Mytilus edulis: one gene and its partners. The protein of the gene in region 1 purifies or fractionates together with the protein of each later gene. This does not show direct contact. Links are inferred from orthologs where the notes say so. Each region holds a gene or a part of one and is shown in the gene's direction. Other genes may lie near its edges.

The links.
Region 2: the proteins of serine/threonine-protein phosphatase 2A catalytic subunit beta isoform (region 1) and immunoglobulin-binding protein 1-like purify together in Drosophila melanogaster (affinity purification with western blotting; 3 studies listed by BioGRID, with this or other methods). This does not show direct contact. The link is inferred for Mytilus edulis from reciprocal best matches to the Drosophila melanogaster genes mts and Tap42.
Region 3: the proteins of serine/threonine-protein phosphatase 2A catalytic subunit beta isoform (region 1) and serine/threonine-protein kinase 3-like purify together in Drosophila melanogaster (affinity purification with western blotting; 3 studies listed by BioGRID, with this or other methods). This does not show direct contact. The link is inferred for Mytilus edulis from reciprocal best matches to the Drosophila melanogaster genes mts and hpo.

What each region holds. Positions count from the first base shown.
Region 1 is NC_092352.1:55,731,046-55,737,986, forward strand, and holds the start of serine/threonine-protein phosphatase 2A catalytic subunit beta isoform, read left to right. Parts: upstream 1-3,880; 5' UTR 3,881-4,227; coding exon 4,228-4,338; intron 4,339-6,179; coding exon 6,180-6,389; intron 6,390-6,941. Other genes in the region: small ribosomal subunit protein RACK1, read right to left, coding at 1-2, 480-651, 3,648-3,756.
Region 2 is NC_092345.1:81,758,471-81,765,739, forward strand, and holds the start of immunoglobulin-binding protein 1-like, read left to right. Parts: upstream 1-4,234; 5' UTR 4,235-4,276; coding exon 4,277-4,390; intron 4,391-7,269. Other genes in the region: protein FMC1 homolog, read right to left, coding at 3,898-3,975.
Region 3 is NC_092355.1:58,086,771-58,094,658, reverse strand, and holds the start of serine/threonine-protein kinase 3-like, read left to right. Parts: upstream 1-4,829; 5' UTR 4,830-4,959; coding exon 4,960-4,973; intron 4,974-7,888. Other genes in the region: endoribonuclease LACTB2-like, read right to left, coding at 1-115, 1,635-1,798, 4,461-4,597. UniProt on the Drosophila melanogaster protein: Plays a key role in the Hippo/SWH (Sav/Wts/Hpo) signaling pathway, a signaling pathway that plays a pivotal role in organ size control and tumor suppression by restricting proliferation and promoting apoptosis.

The sequences.
Region 1 (6,941 bases):
CTCTAAAAAGTACCATAGTGAAAATTAATGCTACATCATTTTTACCTGTACATTGTATGTAGTATGGGAATGATATCAAACTCAAATATTAACAATGTGTTCACACTACACACACAAAAAAAGTTTCCAATTCAGAAATTAATGCAAGGTTTTTAATAATGGGGAAAATGCAACACATTTTAAACGCAATAATTTTAACTCGCATTTGAAATATTTGATATGAATTAAACCGAATTTTTCTCAAAACCTTAAAAATTAAAATCGCATTTTAAGTCTAAAATAACAAAAACGCAATAATAAATGCACCAATAGTTTCTGAATTTACAGTAGATGCAGTAAAAGATGTTATGCATTAGAGGTAATTTGACATTTATGGCATTTTTGTTCATTTAGTTTCTTATTGTACTACTTAAGCTTTGTCAAGTCAATTTTATGAAAACTTTGAAAGAACATTTAATCAGATAATCAAAAAGCCTTACGCTCCAAGATCCCACAAACGTAGAGTCTTGTCCCATGATCCAGACAAAGCAAACTGGCCATCAGATGACATGACTACATCTGATACAAAGTGACCATGACCTCTTAAACATCTGAGTGGTAAACCATAATTTGTCTCGTCTCTGGTCAATTTCCACATAATCAAGGTCTTGTCTGAAAATAAGAATTGTTGAAATTCAAAAGAAGACAATGACTGGCTACATATATAATACATATATCCTGCCCTATAATTTGTTGTCAACCTTTATACAAACGTTCACAGTTCTATTCTCAAATAAATAATAAACAAGAATGTGTCCACAGTACACGGATGCCCCACTCGCACTATCATTTTCTATGTTTAGGCCGAGAAAAAAAAGATCAGTGTTTCCGGTAACCCGACCGACCCTGTTTTTTAGCCCCGACCCTAACTTTTTTATTGGATCTTCCAAAAAAAAAAAAAAAAATTTATCAACCGACCCTGTTTTTGACACAGGCTTCTGATAGATGACATAATATTTTTTCTCTCTTGCTTCCTCTTGCATAGAAAGCCAGTCATAGAAAGCCAGTAAAACATTTTATTAATGTCAAAAGGTATTCCAAATAGGTTAAAATCCAAGAAATTTGCACAGCAGGTGCTTCAAAAACATTGCAAATGGCACACTTCCGGTTTTTGAAACTAATTACGGATCCGAACTTGGAAAAAAACATGATAATTTTCCGGATTTCATTTACGATGTCAAAAAAAAAAAAAAAAAGAAAAAAAAAAAGAATTCCGACCTACCTACCCTATTTTTTAAAATGATGTTACCGGAAACACATATCTTTTTTTTTTGGCCTTAGTGGACCGTGAAATTGGAATAAATTCTCTAATTTGGCATTAAAATTAGAATGATCTAATCAAAGGGAACATGTATACTAAGTTTCAAGTTGATTGTGGACTTCTACTTTATCAAAAACTACCTTGACCAAAAACTTTAACCTGAAATTTGCACTATCATTTTCTATGTTCAGTGAACCATAAAATTGGGGTCAAAACTATAATTTGGCATTTAAATTAGAAAGATCATATCATAGGGCACATGTATACTAAGTTTCAAGTTGATTGGACTTCAACTATTGGACTTCAACTTCATCAAAAACTACCTTGACCAAAAACTTTAACGATTGGACTTCAACTTCATCAAAAACTACCTTGACCAAAAACTTTAACCTGAAATTTGCACTATCATTTTCTATGTTCAGTGAACCGTAAAATTGGGGCCAAAACTATAATTGGGCATTTAAATTAGAAAGATCATATCATAGGGCACATGTATACTAAGTTTCAAGTTGATTGGACTTCAACTTCATCAAAAACTACCTTGACCAAAAACTTTAACCTGAAGCGGGACAGACGGACGAACGAACGAACAGACAGACGAACGGACGCACAGATCAGAAAACATAATGCCCCTCTACTATCGTAGGTGGGGCATAAAAAATAATCAGACATACTGACCTAATTAATTATAAACTAATTTCAATACTTTTCCTTTTTATTACAAAATTGTTTATATTGACACTTTATACCTGTAGTGCAGTCTTCACCATTAGTCAAAATAATTATGATGTCTTGAAATATATTTTATTTTTTGCTTTGTAGCCTTTCTGGCATGGGATGTCATATATGCCCAACTTATTTTTTTTAGTAAGACTTTTAAAAACGTTTTACTGATTTCTTCTATATAGACACTTTGAAATTCATTTTAGGAGTATAAAATAATATATTTGTTTTCCAAACTCTAAATTTTGATGGACATGAATTTAAATATAAATCAAACATCCCGAAAAGATTGTGCGTCATATATTATTCTGAGTTTGGTGCAAATAAATATTTTATAGTACTCTTCTAATTATATACATAGGGAAATTAGCTTACGGCGCAGTCCGGTGTATCCATGCACCTAAGACTTATGACTTCATTTCATTCAACTGATAAAACCAATAAATGGATAATATTGGGTGAACACATTCATAACATACTTTTATTTTATAAAATCTTCTGTTTGTATGGTTTCACCCAAGATTTTGTGTAATGCGTGTCCAAAATTAGGGAAACCCCTGTTCTGAGATTTCCTCCAATGTCTGGGGATTTCGCACATGCCTTCCAAAAATATGTTATTTTGAATAAAGGAAAGACTTTCTACTCCAAAATATAGCTGAATTTGAACCAAACACACTTCCAAGGATGCAGAGCAAAAATTATTTCAAACTAATAAAATTTTGACTTAAATAAAACAAATTTTATCTGATGATGTAATTTTTTTTAATGGAAATTAGTCAAATATTGTAAATCACGGGTTTGCAGTTATTAACCTCTTGAACTTATAATTTTTTTTTTAATCCCTTCTGAAGGCTAAAACAATAACAAGAACGATTTTATTTGTGTTACTTTGTTGATATGACGAAATCAGATAATGCACAGTATCACTGGCCATGCAGACACCACTGTAGAAGCGTTTTATTGTTAACTTGGGTCTAAAGTTTGAGAGAAATTCCATCACACAGTCTTACCAAAAAACATGTCTTCAATAAATAAAATTTCAAGACGTCACAATTATTAGGACTATATTTGCACCAGAGTAGTACATGTTTGCAAAACATTGTTACGACACATACATTTTTTTCTAATATTCTTGAACTAGTGATAAATAACGATTTTGGTGCAGACAGCTGGTATATTTACATGTTCTGTATGAATTGATCATATGTCACAGATTCCGTTCTAGGGAACAATTGTACATCTACATTATACTATGATCCATCAGCCCATTGATGAATATACCATACTGTCATGACTGTACATGTTCATGCTCAGTCCCTGTATTTTCGAATGTTCCACTTGAGAAAAAGCGCCTACGAACTTTACTTAAATGCAGATTGCAATCAGAAATGATATTCTCTCCAAACTGCGGCTTTTAATTCGATCTTCTGCCAATAGGTCTACCGGCATTTCAACATTGAAGATGAAAAATGTACATGTAAACAAATTTACACAGTATGACAAAAAAGACAACGTTGCAATAAAAAGATAGAGTATGTGCATCGTCTTGAAGATCGAATACATTGATAATATGTGCAAAACATGCAGGTTATACAAAAAATGAGATCTATTCAGAATATTTTACCCCGAGAAGATGACAACACCATATCAGGATATTGGGGAGTTGTGGCAATCTGTGTCACCCATCCTCCATGCCCTTGGAGGGTCCCTCTAAGCGTCATTTGCTCCGCCATCGTTTTCTTGTTTTTAATGAAAATTCAACTATGATTGGCGCAGATTCGATATAACTTATTTAGTTCGCCATGAACTAAGACGGGCAAACCGGAAAAGGAAGTCTGTAGTTAACTCGCTTGGTTTAGAAAAATTCCGATAGATGTCACCAAACGGAATAAGGACACCAGCAGAGTGACTCAGAATCCAGTTTATATTTGCATTAAAATTTTGAATCATTTAAGATAAATAATGATTAACATCACGATTAGTTCTTAATTTAGTAATTCGTCATTTTTATTTATCTTATATAAATAAAAATTTTCATTCGTTAACAATTATTTATGAAAGTGACGTCACTCGAGAAGGAAGACACAGCCATTTTGTCGGCGCCTCGATGTGCTGAGACTTGAAAATAACACCAAATAAGAGATAAATAACGCATTTTTGTATACATTTGTCAAGTTTAATACATGTAAACATATCTTTTCAAAATGAGTTACGTTGACGATCATGCAACAGCAAAAGAACTCGATACATGGATTGAACAACTTTATGATTGCAAACAACTGACCGAAAATCAAGTCAAAACATTGTGTGAAAAGGTATATACACTTTCATCAACTGTTTTCCCTTTAAAAATACTTACAGACATAGTGACTTTAATGTCATAACTGCATAAAGCATGTGTCGGCCTATAAATGACTGTATAACTGTTGCATCAAACTCGCATGGCAACACATTTTTACGAAACCAATTTTTCGTAAAATTGTATATGGCAACCAAAGTTTTCTTTGCTCAGGTGTACTGATATCGTATCTAATCACATTTCATAAAACAGCCTAGCACAGTTAAAAGGTTTTCAAAGGTTTCAATCCAGCATCCTGAATGTGTTTTAGTCAACATGCCACAAACCATTTATTGATAACTCTGGTAGCACAAGAAGTATACCTCAAGTCTTGTTAAATACACTATTTGACTTACACAAGTTACAGTAAGATGGACCAATTGAACTAAAATGTTGTGTTCATCACATTAAATGAAATTCAAGGATATTTTTACATGTTTTATCCCCAGCTTTGAGAATGAATCATTGGTATTATAGATGTAACTAATTGTAAATACCTCAAGCAGTGTATTTGATTAAAGAAACTTAAACACAAACACTAACCTCCTTTCCCCAATTTAAAATCTAAGTTTTCAGTTTTTAAATCAAACGCACAAGAATTTCATTTAAAGATATGTCAAAAGGGCAGCGAAGGATGTTCTAGGTTGTTGACATCTGAAAACATAATCCTGCTGCAGGCTTCAAAGATAAAAGTTGATGGAGCATTTATGTAGCACTGATCAGGCTTATTAACTCTTCTTATAAGGTAGTGTTCAGTTGTGTGTTGTCACACACAGAAAATGTTCATTCTAGCTTTGGATAACTTTTAAGCTTGGAAATTATGCCAAATAGCATGAATAGTAAAGAAGATGTAGTAATGAAAATATTTTCAGAAGTATTATTCTTGACAGCTATATATGTTCTTTTTTATGCCCCACCTACGATAGTAGAGGGGCATTATTTTTTCTGGTCTGTGCGTCCTTCCGTCTGTTCGTCCGTCTGTCCCATTTCAGGTTAAAGTTTTTGGTCAAGGTAGTTTTTGAAGAAGCTAAAGTGTAATCAACTTGAAACTTTGTACACATGTTCCTTATGATATGATCTTTCTTATTTAAAAAAAAAAAATTAATCTTTTGACTCCATTTTCATGGTCCACTGAACATAGAAATTAAAAGTGTGAGTTTCAGGTTAAAGTTTTTGGTCAAGGTAGTTTTCAATGAAATTAAAGTCCAATCAACTTGAAACTTAGTACACATGTTCCCTTTTGGTTGATCAATTTACTTCTAAGGCCAAATTAGATTTTTTACCCGATTTCACGGTCCATTGAACATAGAAAATGATAATGCGAGTGGGGCATTCGTGTACTTTGGACACATTCTTGTTTGCAACCAAAAATCATCAATAAATGTTGTGTAAAACCATGTTAAAACATATATCAGAAACAACTTCAGCAAATGGCAGCTAACAGAAAATATATAATACATGTAGTTAATTGTAATTTGATCTCTTGCATAAGTCCCTGTTTTAAGCAGGTGACAGTTAATATACATACACTATTTTATTTTGTTTGGTCTTATAATTGAACTGATGAGCTATATCATGTATATACAACACCTCAGTTTTGTAGGACTTGTATTTATTCTCCTAATGTATGATTAATTGTTTGATTATGATATTCACTGTTCAGTTCTTATTTTCTGGCTATTGACATGCATTTATATTAAATGCTGGGACTTCTTTAACCTGAAACAAATGAGGCTTATAATGTGAATTTTAAATAAAAATGCATTTTGAGGCACTCTTTAATTTATTTAATACTAATAAACAATTAATTTTTTTCAGGCTAAAGAAATATTGTCCAAGGAATCAAATGTTCAGGAAGTTAAATGTCCAGTTACTGTGTGCGGGGATGTCCATGGCCAGTTCCATGACTTGATGGAATTGTTCAGAATTGGTGGAAAATCACCAGACACTAACTACTTGTTCATGGGAGACTATGTAGACAGAGGATATTACTCAGTAGAAACAGTAACACTTTTAGTAGCTTTGAAAGTATGTATAGTACATTTATTTACACATTTTGTCTTTGTTAAGGCCATAAAAAAGAATAGATTTGTTTGCCCAAACGCTACCTACCCAGAAAAAAGTTGCCTACTCAAATTCTTTTATTGTCCTAATTTGAAGAAGTTTTTTTTTTTATCAGATAGGCATAAAGACTAATAAACACCCGATACTTCAATTTCTCTTTTTGAAAAAAAAAAAGAAAATGCCTACCTACCTACCCACTGTCTCAACCTTTGGGTAGGGTTTGGGCAAACCAAAATATTTTTAATTGTGGCCTAAACAAAACTACATTTTGGCTAATGTTAAAAGCAACAATTAAAAAGTGCAGCTTGATTCAAAATGAACAGTTGGAAAATATTTATTTGATTATCTTTCATTCATAAAACTTGCATCCTCTATGATTTAAAAAGCAATGTCTACTCCATGTGCTTTGCAATTTATGAGACTTTCACTAAAAATTATCCAATTAATCCTTACTGATAGCCAGTATACATGGTATAGTTAATTGTAGAAATTAAATAAAGTGACAGGTTCACATTT
Region 2 (7,269 bases), on another chromosome or scaffold:
AAAAAGTCATAACAAATAAAAAAAACTTTTTCAGCTGAATTTTATCACGTTTCTTCATGTTCTTGTAAGTCATTTTATTTTTTTGTCTTTATTGAAAAAATATCAATCAAACATGTTATGAACAAATAACGTACATTTACTTTTGACACATTCATCCTGTTCATGACATTGTTGTAAACAAGAGGCTCTCAAGAGCCTGAATCGCTCACCTGAATTTTTTTGGTTTAATCTCTCATCAATGATTATTTTGGCTTTTCAATTTATTTAAATGTTCTTGAAATCGTCCTATTCTCTTCAAAAGCCAAAAAAAAAAATCAATTTCTCCTATGTTCTATTTTAGCCATAGGAGCTATGTTTCTTGACATACAAGGAAATGAAATATAAAATTTATACTAGATACTCTGAAACTCTGAAACTCATTTAGCCTAAGTTTGGCTGAAATTGATACAGCAGTTTCAAAGGAGAAGATTTTTTAAAGTAAGTCAACATGATGAACAAATTGTGAAAAAAGTTTTTAAAGGGCAATAACTCCTTAAGAGGTCAATTGACAATTTTTGTCAATTTGACTTATTTGTAGATCTTACTTTGCTGATCATTTTTGCTGTTTACAGTTTATCTTTATCTATAATAATATTCAAGATAATGACCAAAAACTGCAAAATTTCCTTAAAATTACCAATTAAGTGGCAGCAACCCAACAATGGTTTGTTTGATTCATCTGAAAATTTCAGGGCTGATAGATCTTGACCTAATGAACATTTTTACCCCATGTCAGATTTGCTCTAAATGCTTTCGTTTTTGAGATATAAGCCAAAAACTGCATTTGACCCCTATGTTCTATTTTAAGTAACGGTGGCCATGTTTTTTGACGGATCAAAAATCTAAGCACACACTTTGTGCAGGATAATCTAAAGAACAATCATGCTAAGTTTCATCCAAATCCATTCAGTAGTTTCAGAGGAGAAGATTTTTTAAAGTTAGCAAATATGATGAACAAATTGTGAAAAATTGCCATTAAAGGACAATAACCCCTTAAGGGGTCAATTGACAATTTTGGTCATATTAACTTATTTGTAGATCTTACTTTGCTGATCGTTTTTGCTGTTTACAGTTTATCTTTATCTATAATAATATTCAAGATAATGACCAAAAACTGCAAAATTTCCTTAAAATTACCAATTAAGTGGCAGCAACCCAACAATGGTTTGTTTGATTCATCTGAAAATTTCAGGGCTGATAGATCTTGACCTAATGAACATTTTTACCCCATGTCAGATTTGCTCTAAATGCTTTCGTTTTCGAGATATAAGCCAAAAACTGCATTTGACCCCTATGTTCTATTTTAGGTAACGGCGGCCATGTTTTTTGACGGATCAAAAATCGAAGCACACACTTAGTGCAGGATACTCTAAGGAACAATCATGCTAAGTTTCATTCAAATCCATTCAGTAGTTTCAGAGGAGAAGATTTTTTAAAGTTAGCAAATTTGATGAACAAATTGTGAAAAATTGCCATTAAAGGACAATAACCCCTTAAGGGGTCAATTGACAATTTTGGTCATATTAACTTATTTGTAGATCTTACTTTGCTGATCATTTTTGCTGTTTACAGTTTATCTTTATCTATAATAATATTCAAGATAATGACCAAAAACTGCAAAATTTCCTTAAAATTACCAATTAAGTGGCAGCAACCCAACAATGGTTTGTTTGATTCATCTGAAAATTTCAGGGCTGATAGATCTTGACCTAATGAACATTTTTACCCCATGTCAGATTTGCTCTAAATGCTTTCGTTTTCGAGATATAAGCCAAAAACTGCATTTGACTCCTATGTTCTATTTTAGGTAACGGCGGCCATGTTTTTTGACGGATCAAAAATCGAAGCGCACACTTTGTGCAGGATACTCTAAGGAACAATCATGCTAAGTTTCATTCAAATCCATTCAGTAGTTTCAGAGGAGAAGATGTTTGAAAAATTGTTAACGACGACAGACGACGACGACGACGACGACGACGACGACGTCGACGACGACGGACGCCAAGTGATAAGAAAAGCTCACATGGCCTTTTAGGCCAGGTGAGCTAAAAACTAATATTTTTGTGTAATGAATATATAATGAAATAATTCACCAAATGGTATACTCGTACATGTATAGTCCAACCATATGCGTATGGTCCGCCCGTACGCGTTTGGTCGGACCAGATGAGTATAATACTCGTTTGGTTATTAACAGGCCGGACTATATAGGTATTTTTTTTCAGATAACATTATAAACGTTTTAGTAGTACAAAAACTTTATCTAAAAAAAAGTGATGGTTACATGACAATTTATTAATTTTATAATCCAAAAACTACGAAAAAATTAAGTATTGATGTCATAGTTAGTTTTCATCGCTATAGTTAAATTCTTGCATGTACATGTACAAACGGTATCATAGTTTTTTTTGCATTTGCAAGAAATTTGTGCACGATCGTTTTCATTTACACCTTTTGTTTGCGAGTGAAAAGCTAGCCTTTTTGCAGCTGCATACAGTGATACGAAGGTCTTTGACCATTCCCATGTCTATGGTCTTTTTAAAGAGCTCTAAATCTCAAATATCGTAAAATGACTGCAATACACCATATTCACAAGACAACTTAAATAAACTATGTTACTTTCAAGTGACTTCTTGTAATGCTTGTGTAACAGTTCATTAAGAAAGCATTTAGTAATCATCAAAAATCTGATGGATAACTGGATATCATAAGAAGAAGAAGAATGAAAATGAGGTCAAGGTCACATGACCCATGTCCAACAGACAATTCATGTAGTTAGTTTTTCACCTTTGAATTGTTTCACATTATCATTTCCGGGCCTTTCATAGCTGACTAGATGTGGTATGTGCTTTGCTCATTGTTGAAGGCTGTACAGTGACCTATACATGTAGTTGTTAATGTATGTGTCATTGTGGTCTCTTTTGGAGAGTTATCCTATTGGCAATCATACCACATCTTTTTTTATATGTAGATCATGTACATCTTACAATCCTTCCATACACCAAATATATTGACCATATAATCGTTTATAGTTATGAGCATCCTCATGGGGTAATCGATTATGTGATTACTGCACTGTTTTTTGTGATTATTTGATTACCAAACCAAATATTACATGATTATTTGTTTTTTAATAATCTAGGACTGTATTTTTGATTACTATCTTTAAAATAATAATTAATTATTATACGATTATTTTGACAAACAACATGAACAAAAATGTGATTATGTGATTACTTGGGCACCCCCATGACATGAGGGTCTCAGTTATACTTATTGAGGCTGAGAAACAGAGTTATCTGTCTCTAATATTTAATTAACTGTGCATTTGTATTCAGATATCGCAGATCAAATTTATTCGTTCATTGTGTAATCATACGTTTTTTGATTGAGTTAAGTCTGCCAATTGATATTTTATCGTATGTTTTTATATGTTGTGATGTTATGCTATTGTTTCAGAAAAAGGGAGAAGGTTTGGGCCCATTAAAACGTTTAATCCCGCTGCAAATGTTTGCACCTGTCCTAAGTCAGGAATCTGATGTACAGTAGTTGTCGTTTGTTTATGTAATATATACGTGTTTCTCGTTTCTCGTTTTGTTTATATAGATTAGACCGTTGGTTTTCCCGTTTGAATGGTTTTACACTAGTTATTTTGGGGCCCTTTATAGCTTGTTGTTCGGTGTGAGCCAAGGCTCCGTGTTGAAGGCCGTACTTTAACCTATAATGGTTTAATTTTTGAATTGTTGTTTGGATGGAGAGTTGTCTCATTGGCACTCACACCACATCTTCCTATATCTATTATCTAATGCAAACTAGACATGAAATAAATATTGGCAACAGTACAAACGTGCAGCCAACCTTTGAATTAATAAAGCGTAGTTCTTTCAATAGACTGCGGAATAACTGAGCAGTGGCAGTGGGACTTGTCATTTTCATAAACAAAGTCAACGTTATTTGGCGCTTAGGTCATTCTAATTTTAGACACAAATGCTGATTCCAAGGGCGTTGTGTCTAACAGTGCTGTAAAGTAAATACAGAATAAAAATGCAGTTTTATTCGCTTGTATATAACAGCTGATTGAAACTGATACAATTTCTTTCTTATAAAAGCTTGTTTATTTGCAAATTTTGATTAATCATTACACATCTATGATCCAGAAATTAGTCTTATCTGTACCGAATGTGATTTTATAGTAAATCGGTAAAACGTTTCTCTGATAACGATATCGGTGTGAGATATGGCTGAAGCTGGAGACAAAACACCAACTCTTTCGGAGTTGTACCAAGATTTATGGACAACGTATATCTTCACAGAAAATACAAATGATTCAACTTCATCTCAGGACTATCAAGTACATAAATTGATTTACAAAAAAGTCCAGGGGGCTTTTCAATATATACATTTATAATTTTTTGTACATTCACTGGAAATTAAGTCCAAAATTTTTAATTATGACATATTGAATAGTTGAAAGGCTATTATATTTTTTTTTCTTTGACACCTTACGTCGCAGGAGCAAAAATTTAAAATAGCCTTCCAAGACGTCCAGGCGCGTAGCTACGTTTACGTCAAAACGCCCGGGCGTACACTTGAATTTTGGTAAACAAATATGATTATCGGAATATATTAAAACCAAGTGGTTAAAAGCACGTGCATCAGCCTTGAAAATATTTCTACAATAGCTTGCAATAATAAATAAAAGTGACGACTACATTTTATTTGTCAGTCATATGATACCGGCTTATACAGTTCAATTTTCGCGAAAGCCATCCCAAACTCCAAACACCGAGTTTTTTGCTGGTGTGACACCAGGAAACTCCGACATCACTCCCTAAATTGTCGGAGAAATTTGGGAGTATTCCCTCTGACTTCCGTGTAAATCCGTTACCTTTTGTTTATTGTATTAGCGACATCTCTCCCAGTCTGGAGTGACGCGGTGTCACACCAGGTAATTAATTGCCCTAATCCTTCTGATCTATGCCGGCACTCGACAGTCAAGGTATGCGAGATTTCTAATGTAATTAAACAATTGTATTTCCTGTCTAGTCACTCTATTGATTATCAGGTTATATCTGATTGCTTGAAACAAATGAAAGATTAAAATCAAAATCAAAACGTTGTTGTTAATTCTTTCAATTACACTGTACATTTAAATCAAGTTAAAAAAAAACTATATTTGATTTTGACTTCCGTTTTTTATCAGTAAATAAATATTTAATTTACTAAAAGAGATATAATTGTGTAACAATAAACGGAAACTAACGTTGAATAAATTAGGACAGTTTAAAGAAAAATTACACGTCTCAAAGTTTTTTATACAAGTAAAAAAGAAAATATTATTCACTATCTGTTATGCTAATAAGTTTTCATTTCCATTTTACGATTACAAAATAAAAGTTTTAAAAAGCAAAAGATTGTTGTTAATGCTTTCAATTGCAGTAAAGTTTTATAAAAAAAAATCTATACTTGATTATGATCTCGTTGTTTTTATCGGTAATTTATATAACTTGCGAAAATAGATGGAAATTAACGCAGAAGTTATAAAATGTGAGAAAGAAAGAAAATTACGTGTCTTTAAACTTGTATATACAAGAAAAAAAGAAAATACTATTCACAATTCGCTATGCTTAATAAGTCTACGGCATTTTCTCTTCACGATTTGTTAGCATTACTTAAGAATAAATAATACATTTCGGCTACAACAGGAATACTTCTATAGCTGCATCAACTCGTCGTTGCATAATATTCATTTACGCACAATGAATGTAAACTTTTGTGTTGTATTTAAATATTTCTAAACCAATAAATTGCTGTGGGAAGACGATACGCAACTCAGTGATCAACAGTGCGTGGTTGAACTTGACTTCGCTCACAATATTGAATGCTAAAAATAGTGACATCAATTTTGTCCACGAGATTTTTATTTGGCGGGAAATAGTATCATGTAACAGTTAACTCAGGTGACCTTTCTGGATAACCGTGGGAAAATTCATTCAAGGTTTAAACTTGCTTTGTAATGATTGACATAAATTTGTGTGCGTTAAGATTGAGGCTCTAGACGGTCCTTTTACAATTGATTAACCGGATTCTAAATTATATTCCTTTTCTGAATAAACCAACATCAGCCTTTTATTTTTATGTTTCTCAGTCAACAGAGGACATAAAACCGGACATTATTTATACGTCTATAGTCAACACTATATATTAATGGTATATGAAAACAGGATGCATGTTCATGATGGGCGTTGGCAGAGACCTCTGTGAAAATTTGTCGATCGTTAAAATCTGATCTAATTTTTTTTTTACATATTTTTTTCTTGTAGAACACGATATAATTTCATTTTAATATTCTATTGTATAAATTGTTGAACTACTTCTTTTTATATTTCGTCGAGGAGTTTTAACGAGCAGTAAACTACGGATTGCGCCAATCCAATTTTATTTTAAATAATTAAAGATCAATAACAGATTAAAAACACATGATTTCTTTTCTCCATATAATTAAATAAGGTTGTGATAATTGTGTTGTGTCTTCTCAGTATTTATGAATATAGGGCTGCCACATTGCATACAAAACTATTTGTCACTTTACAGTTTCTTTTTAAAATTCAAATATTTCAAGTCGGAAATTTTATTCTACCGAGGTAGTGAAACATAATATTTTACATTTCAAAATAAATTGAAAGTAACAGAGTTCACTTGGCATGCTTGTTGATCCGATAAATTAACTCTTGGGTTTAATTTAGATTGGACAAATTACCTTAAAAACATCATTTTGTTTTAAGCCAGTTGATATTAATTTTATAATATTGAACTATTAATGAACCCAATATTGCTCACTGAGTAGGTCATAAAAGGTTCTAATTGTGGTAAAATCGTCTTTGTTGAAAAAAAACCCAAAAATTATGACCTGATCGGACTATAATGGAAATACAAAATAAGCGTTTTATTCGTATTTTTATACGTCTGTACGCTGTATGTCATATGACAATGACATGGGCATATACATACAAGAATAATAATCTTATTTTAAATAGAAATGTCACACTTTTATCTGACAATGAAAGGACATTTAAATAACGTATTTTAAAGCACACAGGTGCAATCAAGATCGATTAAATGTACAAAGGTAATAAATCTGGCTAATCCGATGATGTTGTCACGCGTCATTAATTTTCAGAACATCCGATGGGCAATAAACCAATTAACAGCCACGCGGTGTTGGGAGAG
Region 3 (7,888 bases), on another chromosome or scaffold:
GTAGCCCCCTCTGTTTTAAACACTGTGTTGTTTTCCACAAATGTATACTTTGCTGGAGAGATGTCTAGATCCTGTTGAGATAATCTTTGGAATTTTGATACAATGGTCTCTTGAGCTGTGAATATAAAATAAAAAGACACATATTACTCAATAATAGGGTGGATGGATGGAGTGGTGTTTCAAGTCCTGCTGTAAATATTGCATGCATTCAAGGACAAGATCATGTATAGTGTAGTCAATCAGGGGTAATGTTTGGTTTAGTCTAAACATATTTCATATTGTTCAAAATGGACAAATGGATTAGACACACGTTTTTCAACTTTGTAACATCTTTTCCAAAATACCTATACATATTTATTTACTTAAAGATACAAGTAATGTTCTGGTCAGAGACCACAATTATTTCGTAGTGCATTTCTTTTAGAACATAAATGAAATATAAAAAATCCCACCTGCGCTTTCTCAATTAAATTTTTACAGTGTGTTGTACTACTTTTGGGACAAATTATATCAAAATTATAGAAAACTTCATCAGCTCTAACTCAAAATATGGACAATTTTATATTTAGGGCGTCTTGAAATCTTTTGACAGCTTCCAAAGTGCTAATTTTTAACCTTTTTCAGCTGGACCAAATCACTACTTTCCTTTAAAATTCTGGACCCAAATTTTTTTACAGTGTAATTTCACCTCCCTACTTGCAATTTGAGGCATAAAACATGGAGAAATAAATTTGGAAGGGGTATAAAAAACATTGGCAAGTAACCCACTGTCAACACTAGGGACTATATTCGTGAACAACGAAAATCAAAGGACGACAATTGTGGTCTCGGACCTTCTCTTACATAAGTAAACTACGATATGATTTTATTTTCAAGCTTTGAATAATCTCCTTTGATCTCCACCAAAATTAACTTATATATACAAGTTATTTGTTTTTACAACACCTTAATATCCACCTTTATCTCAAAAACTCAGCAAGGAAAGCTATTAAACATGTAGATAATAATTAATTGTGCAAAGTCTTGAAAATTGCTTGCTAAAGGCATGTAAAAGAGTTTTTTTTTTTTTTAAATGACCTACTAATATGACATTTTTATTGTTAACATGGTTGATGGAATTATACATTTTATAAATAGCAATGACAATTATACACTGACTGTATACTAGAGCAATGTAGTCAAAATAAGACATTCTTATTTACATTTTGGTTAAAAATAAAATCTTTATGTCTTTTAAAGGGATATAACTCTACACCTCCAAAATAATGTATCTGCATGTAACAGTAAATCAAAAAACATTTGAACAAAGATTAATCCTGACTGACAACTAGTACATTGTTGTAGCTGTAAATTAACCTAGTTAATTTTTACTTTGATATCCTTACTTGCTTCAAATCGTTCTTGTTTTTTTCACTTTCCCAGAACCGTAACTGATCCAGAAATGTTCATAAAAGAGGTAAGGTTGCGCTCCAGTCATGATTCAGTGATTCCCTATATAAATAACCAAATTTTCGCCTCAGAAAAAGGTGCTGCCACCTGAAAACCCTCTAAATCCACCTCTTCAGAAGGCATGTATTATATATTTATTATTTTCTTTTTTTAGAGATTAAATATAACATTTGTATAATAATTACATTTTGTGACTTGGTTACATACATCAGGAACACTACCACAATGGTCAGCATGCCAATGAGTTATAATTATTTCCTGTATGCCACATTTGTGTTGTGATAGGACATTCTGTAAATTCTTGATGTAATCAGGTGTTCCTGTGTCTGTGGTATCCAACAATATTCTCCTAAAATTATATATATAAAATCAAATGTATGTGATGAGGGATATGTAAACGAGACAAAAATATTACAAAGATATAATATAAAGATCAACATATACAGTCAGGGGACTTATTGAAATAAGTGATTTTTAAATCACTTATTTGAGTAGCAAATTCGAAGTTTTGTCACAAAACGTGATTTTGTAGTTTTAGTAAAAAAAAATTAACACATAGGTTTAAATAATATCTTTTCATTAGTAAAATGAAAAAAAAAAACTTTTTGCTTCTTTTTAGTAGTAAGGTTATGCCTTTGATGCTGTCATTTAGCTGCAAATTCTATTTTAGTTGAAACAAGACTTAGAGGCTGTCACAACGACAGCAAACCGGATTTATTAACATTTAATTTTGTGTCCTGGCAATATCACAAGAACCATAACTGATGAACGGTGAAAGTGAAAATCGTCAATGTCAAATTTGACCTCAATTCTGTCATCAGTATCAACATATTAAAATTTGAAAAGCTTAGGTTGAATGGTTCATGTGTAAATGCAACAATATGAATTAGTGGGGGTCATCAAAATAGTGATACTTATTCAAGAAGTGAATTTTGGGAGGGAAATTGCATGAGATATGATACTTAAACAAGTCATTTTTATCTCACTATCCTAGATTCAGTACAAGGTCATCACCTGACATGACCTGGTCATCCTATCAGTGCAGATGTTGGTTCTGATAAGTTTATAAACATATTTAGTCCCTGGATCAGTATTGTATATTTAAAGCTACATGTACATGTACATAAAATTAAATCACTTCTTCTAGTAATTAATTTGTACTACTTAAATAGGTGATTATTAGAGAAAGACAACTCTCACTTCCAACTTTTATGGAAATAATATTACTTGAATCAGTGATTTAGAAAATCACTCATTTAGGTAAGTCCCCTTACTGATATATATGCTTTGCTGAAAAGGATCAATTCTATTTTCTGTTTTAATAACCTTTCATGATCCTCCTGAATGGAAATGCTTCTGTGGTAATAATTATAATTGGCATAAATTTTATAAATTAATATACATGTTAAATAGAACCATTTTGGTTTTTTGGGGGGTTAAGGTTGCAATAAACAGTTAGGAAAAAATACTAAAATTTGCCCTCATAAATTTTACCATCCCCTTTTCATTGCTTTCTTGCAAAATTAGTTACATGTATATATAAGCTTGTAAACTGTTTGTGTTATATATGTGCATACATGTATGTAGTCAGAATCCTTCATAGATTTTATATCCAGAATATAAAATGGTAAAATATAATTTCTTTTGGGTGTATCCATGGCAACAATCTGCATTTATTTGCTATAAAATATTGCAAAAAGGGGGAAAGATGTCACATATATATATCTCCCCAAAATTTGGCTAAAAGTAGAATTTCAATCGCTTAAAGTAATACCTTTTCTTAAACTGTGTACATATATCATTCAGTAAATCCAATGAAAATCATATGTCTTTCATCTCATTTTTTTGTAAAATTGCATCAGAAACTTCGTGTAGAAAAAAAATGTTTGTAAATATTACATTAGTTTCTGAACCGATGGCCAGTCTTAAGCTATGAAAATATGGATTGTCATACAGAAAATAGCCCATTAAACGTGTAAAAAATAATTTTAATGCTCTTATAAACCATCTTTGAAGGCTAAGTTAGTACTCAGCTGTCTGAAAATGAATTTTATTACACAATTACATTCCTATTTGAAAAATCCACCAGGGCCAATGCAAACTAAACTCCTAACAGTGTATTGCTACCTAATATCTTCTTGTGTTGAATCTGAGCCTACTACAACACATTAATTTATAGCAGTCTTAGGTTGAATATATGGTAAACGGACAGAAAGTCACAGGACAAAAAGTCACAAATTTGGTAGGACAAAAAGTCACAAATTTGGTAGGACAAAAAGTCACAGGACAAAAAGTCACAAATAATCTGTTGACAATTGTTTGAATATATAAGAGAAATATCTTGCAAAATTTACTTTTTAATACATATATTTATATTAAAGTTTAGGGAATGTGTCATTATACTTGCAAAATGAAGATTTATTTGATGTTAATCATACAAAAGAAAGATTTCTTGGCACCATGAAGCCATTGAAGTGCCAAGCCACTTTGACATTTTGTTTTTTTAACAATTATTTGTTCATCTTTGATATTTTTTTGATAAATTTTGTTTACAAAGTTGGTTTTTATACAATAGTTAAAGAAAATACAAAAATATTTTGTTAAAAATAAGCTTTTTTTATTCATGTTATTCAAAGAAAATAATCAGAAAAAATGCATTTTGACTTTTTGTCCTGTGACTTTTTGTCCGTGACTTTTTGTCTGTGACTATTTGTCTGTGACTTTTTGTCCTGTGACTTTCTGTCCTACATTCTATATATACACACAACTATTTGCCACTGTACATTAAAAGAGACATTCTGAGTTCACACACCTAGGTTCAAATATCATCATGTGCTAGCCCAAGACTCAACTTCAACATGTTCTAGATGTCAGATGTAGAACATCTTTAGGCTAAAGCCAATACTCAGTACTATAGTATAGCCTAGATAAATTATATAATTTTGATGATGATTTTAATATTTGATCATCACTGACATCAAACTGAGTGTAATATTTTATTGAAATTTCACCTGTCACCTTTACCAATCAAGTAGGAATTTGTGCCTTGTAAAGTCATTGGTCTTGCATTGCATCCTAATATTCTGATTACACGTTCTGACAGTTTTTCTATTTGAGGAAGTGGAGCTAATTTCACTGAAGATGCCATTCTTCTATATTTTTTGTTAGATCACATGACAGTCATGTGACCTGGCATTTTGGGTTAAGAATGTATGCTTTGTTGAATGATTTGCTGGTTTAACTAAAAATAAAAATACTATACTAAAATTAATCTTTATTGAGGAAATAGAAAAATAATCAGACAAGGTCGGCATATTGTCGGAAACTTAAAAAATCAATTTAACGTTTGAAAGATGGCACATTGTGGCTAGAGAAAAAGCTTTTCATTGAACACGAACGACTTTCCTGATTTACTTCCGGACAAGACGAAAACATCAGAACTTTCATTGTTTTCACTTTAAAACTTTTTTCCATGAATCCAGACGGATAGTAGACAATTTATTCTTTAAAATGAGTAATCAAAGGTGAGTATCATATATAATTTTACTTCATCAGGTCTGTGATTTCTGAAGAAGATAATAAAACCATCCTTAAAATGATGCTGTCACAAACTAAAAAATAAATAAATAAAACAAATCACTTCAAACAGATACACACACACAGATCCTGTTACATTTTTTCTTCAGAAGTTTCAAGTTAGCATTGTTCTCACTAAGGCGACCCCATGAGTCCTAGACTTATCAAAATCTGTCTGGACTCACCATTTTCAAAACTTGTGAGTCCACAGACAGTGATCTGGAAGGTTTTTTTCACTATGGGCCCAGGGCCCCTCAAAAATAAATTCAATGGGCCATTTTAAAAAATAATGGGCCATGTTGTCAAATGAGTGGGCCATTTGAATTGACCTCTGTAAAAAAAATAAAAAGTATCATTATTTTTTGCCAAAGAGGTGTTGTAACTTATCTTTATGATTTTAAATAATATCATGGATATTGTTCCTGTGATTCTGTAATTTTAATGAATATACAATAACTTCTTGCAAAACGGACAATATTAAAGATAACCTTTATTTACAATGTTTAAACTGGTACTGTTGCCTTGACTTGTTCATGTTTATGTTGGGTTTTTTTTAACAATAAATTTGGGTCTTCGTCGATATCATACTTATTCCAGGCGTTCCGTATTAGAAGACATTTCAGGCACTTCCTCTGCACTTCTTGTATTATTATTATTACTTTATCACGACGACAAGAATAACAGTAGAGAGTACCATTAGTTGATAGAACAAAACAATAATTCGCTGAAGTCATGTTTACAAAATGTCAAAACGAGCCAAAGACCAAAAAACGGCAAGGACAGTTAAGCGCCTTTTATGGAGACAAAAACTATATTCATAAAAAGGCTTCGGGGGTTTTCAATCGAAATAATACAAGGCCGTAACTACCCTTGAGGCAAGTGAGGCAATTGCCTCACTAAAATTTCGACACTGATTAATTTTTTTATACATATATACAAATAAAATAGTCTTTTGTTGTTCTGTCTCAACCTTAATTTCTATAACTTTTCATCATTCCTTTAAACTATTCTTCCTGGATATAACTCAGCATCTCAACGGGTGATGTTTCTCAATTACATTAACCTAGTAACGATAATCATCATGGATCTCTGGTTAAAAACAGGCTCTTGCAGAAAAAGGAAAAGCGACACTGAAGGTAAAGAAGGAATAATTCTAGTAAACTAATTTGTTTGTGAACGTAGTCTGCGTATTGCATATAACTTCATTAGAACAATCAAAAAACGATAAGTAGACTGACAAATCAAGTAGTCGGCATCGCAAGGGGGCAGTCCTGTCTGTGTATTCATTTCTCCGTTTCATCAACTTTAATCTTTCTCTTTACAGATAAATAAAATATAAATAATATGAAACATGCATGGATTAGTTTTTCATGATCCATGTTTCTTTAACCTTAAAAATTGAAAGAACATCCCATATTCCAATTTGACATTATTGAGGAATGGTATAGAACCTTTATCACAGGATTTTGTCTTTACTTATTCGGGACTACGGAATTTCATTTCTTTATATTCGGGGTTTCGGAATCAGACACCCCCAACCCCTAACCCCTAAATTTATAGATTCTGGAACTAAAATACCACCGACTATTTCCAGAAATAATTTGAAATTACGGACCTACATGTAAACGTCAAAACTCCATTTTAATTCCCCTGTACCCATATCATATATACTTACTCTATAGATAGATCATATACATGTATCTTATCCCATTCTATCCCTAGTTTGTTTACTCTTTGTCAGCATACAAGCGAGTTTAATATTTTGTAACTGAGACTGTATGATGATGCTAGCCTTTATAGGAAAGCTTAATTCCCTTTTGCAAACAAAACTGTTACTACCGATGCTGCTACCGAATTGCTGATGGAGAAGGAATTGGAAGAAGACATTGATCATTGTGTTGATGATAATGTGCTACCTTTAGAAACACAGACTGCCCTGAAACGACTGAAATCTAGGAAAAGAGCATACATGAGTGGCGAGAGGTTGTGCGGTCTTGCCATGCTCCATGTTCATCGCGATAAGGATATCAGCAGACCAAAGTTATGATTCTAAAACAATTTGACTGAACCCACCATAGAAATAATTGGCAAACTCTACTGAATCGATGTTTGTTCTATGTTCTGGCGGCAGATTTAAATTGATATTTGGATGATTATCTTACATACAAATTCAAATAAAGTTGTTAAAAATTTGGTATTAGTAAAAGTCTTTAAATATGAACAATTTATATAAAAACTGTCCAAATTCAAAACATTATCAAACTCTCTAAAAATGCCTAGAACGCAGGATTTTGCACCATTCATTCATACCCTCCAAAAAAATTTAACGCCTCGCTTCGCTCGGCTCAATTATTTTGCCTCACTAAAATAAGATGCCTAGTTACGGCCTTGTAATAGCAAGCTAAACTAAATTAAAAGATTATCATTAGAGTTAAATCTCGTCTGTAATAGCCAAATTTCACAAATTTAAAGTTCTTTACAAAAAATTGTATCATGAATGATGGTTAATTACGTTTTTTGGGATATCAGTTAAACTGCATGGTTCTATTATTACCATAGGAAAACACCTGAGACGTTAAACTTCATGGTTCTATTACCATAGGAAAACAACCGAGACGTCCCAAAAATGTATATAGGTGCTCCTATGATTGGAGGAACATTATACAGTTGTGTACACACACATGGCGGCATGCAAACGATCGGAAATCCATTTGACGATATCTAAACGTTTCGAAACGATGTGAAAAATATCGTGCGCCACGTGGGCGCTTACATTTGTCACTCTATGCGCCATTTCTGGTCAATATGCGCTATAGGCGCAGGGCGCACGACCTTCCCGATCACTGCACAGACACAGATGCAT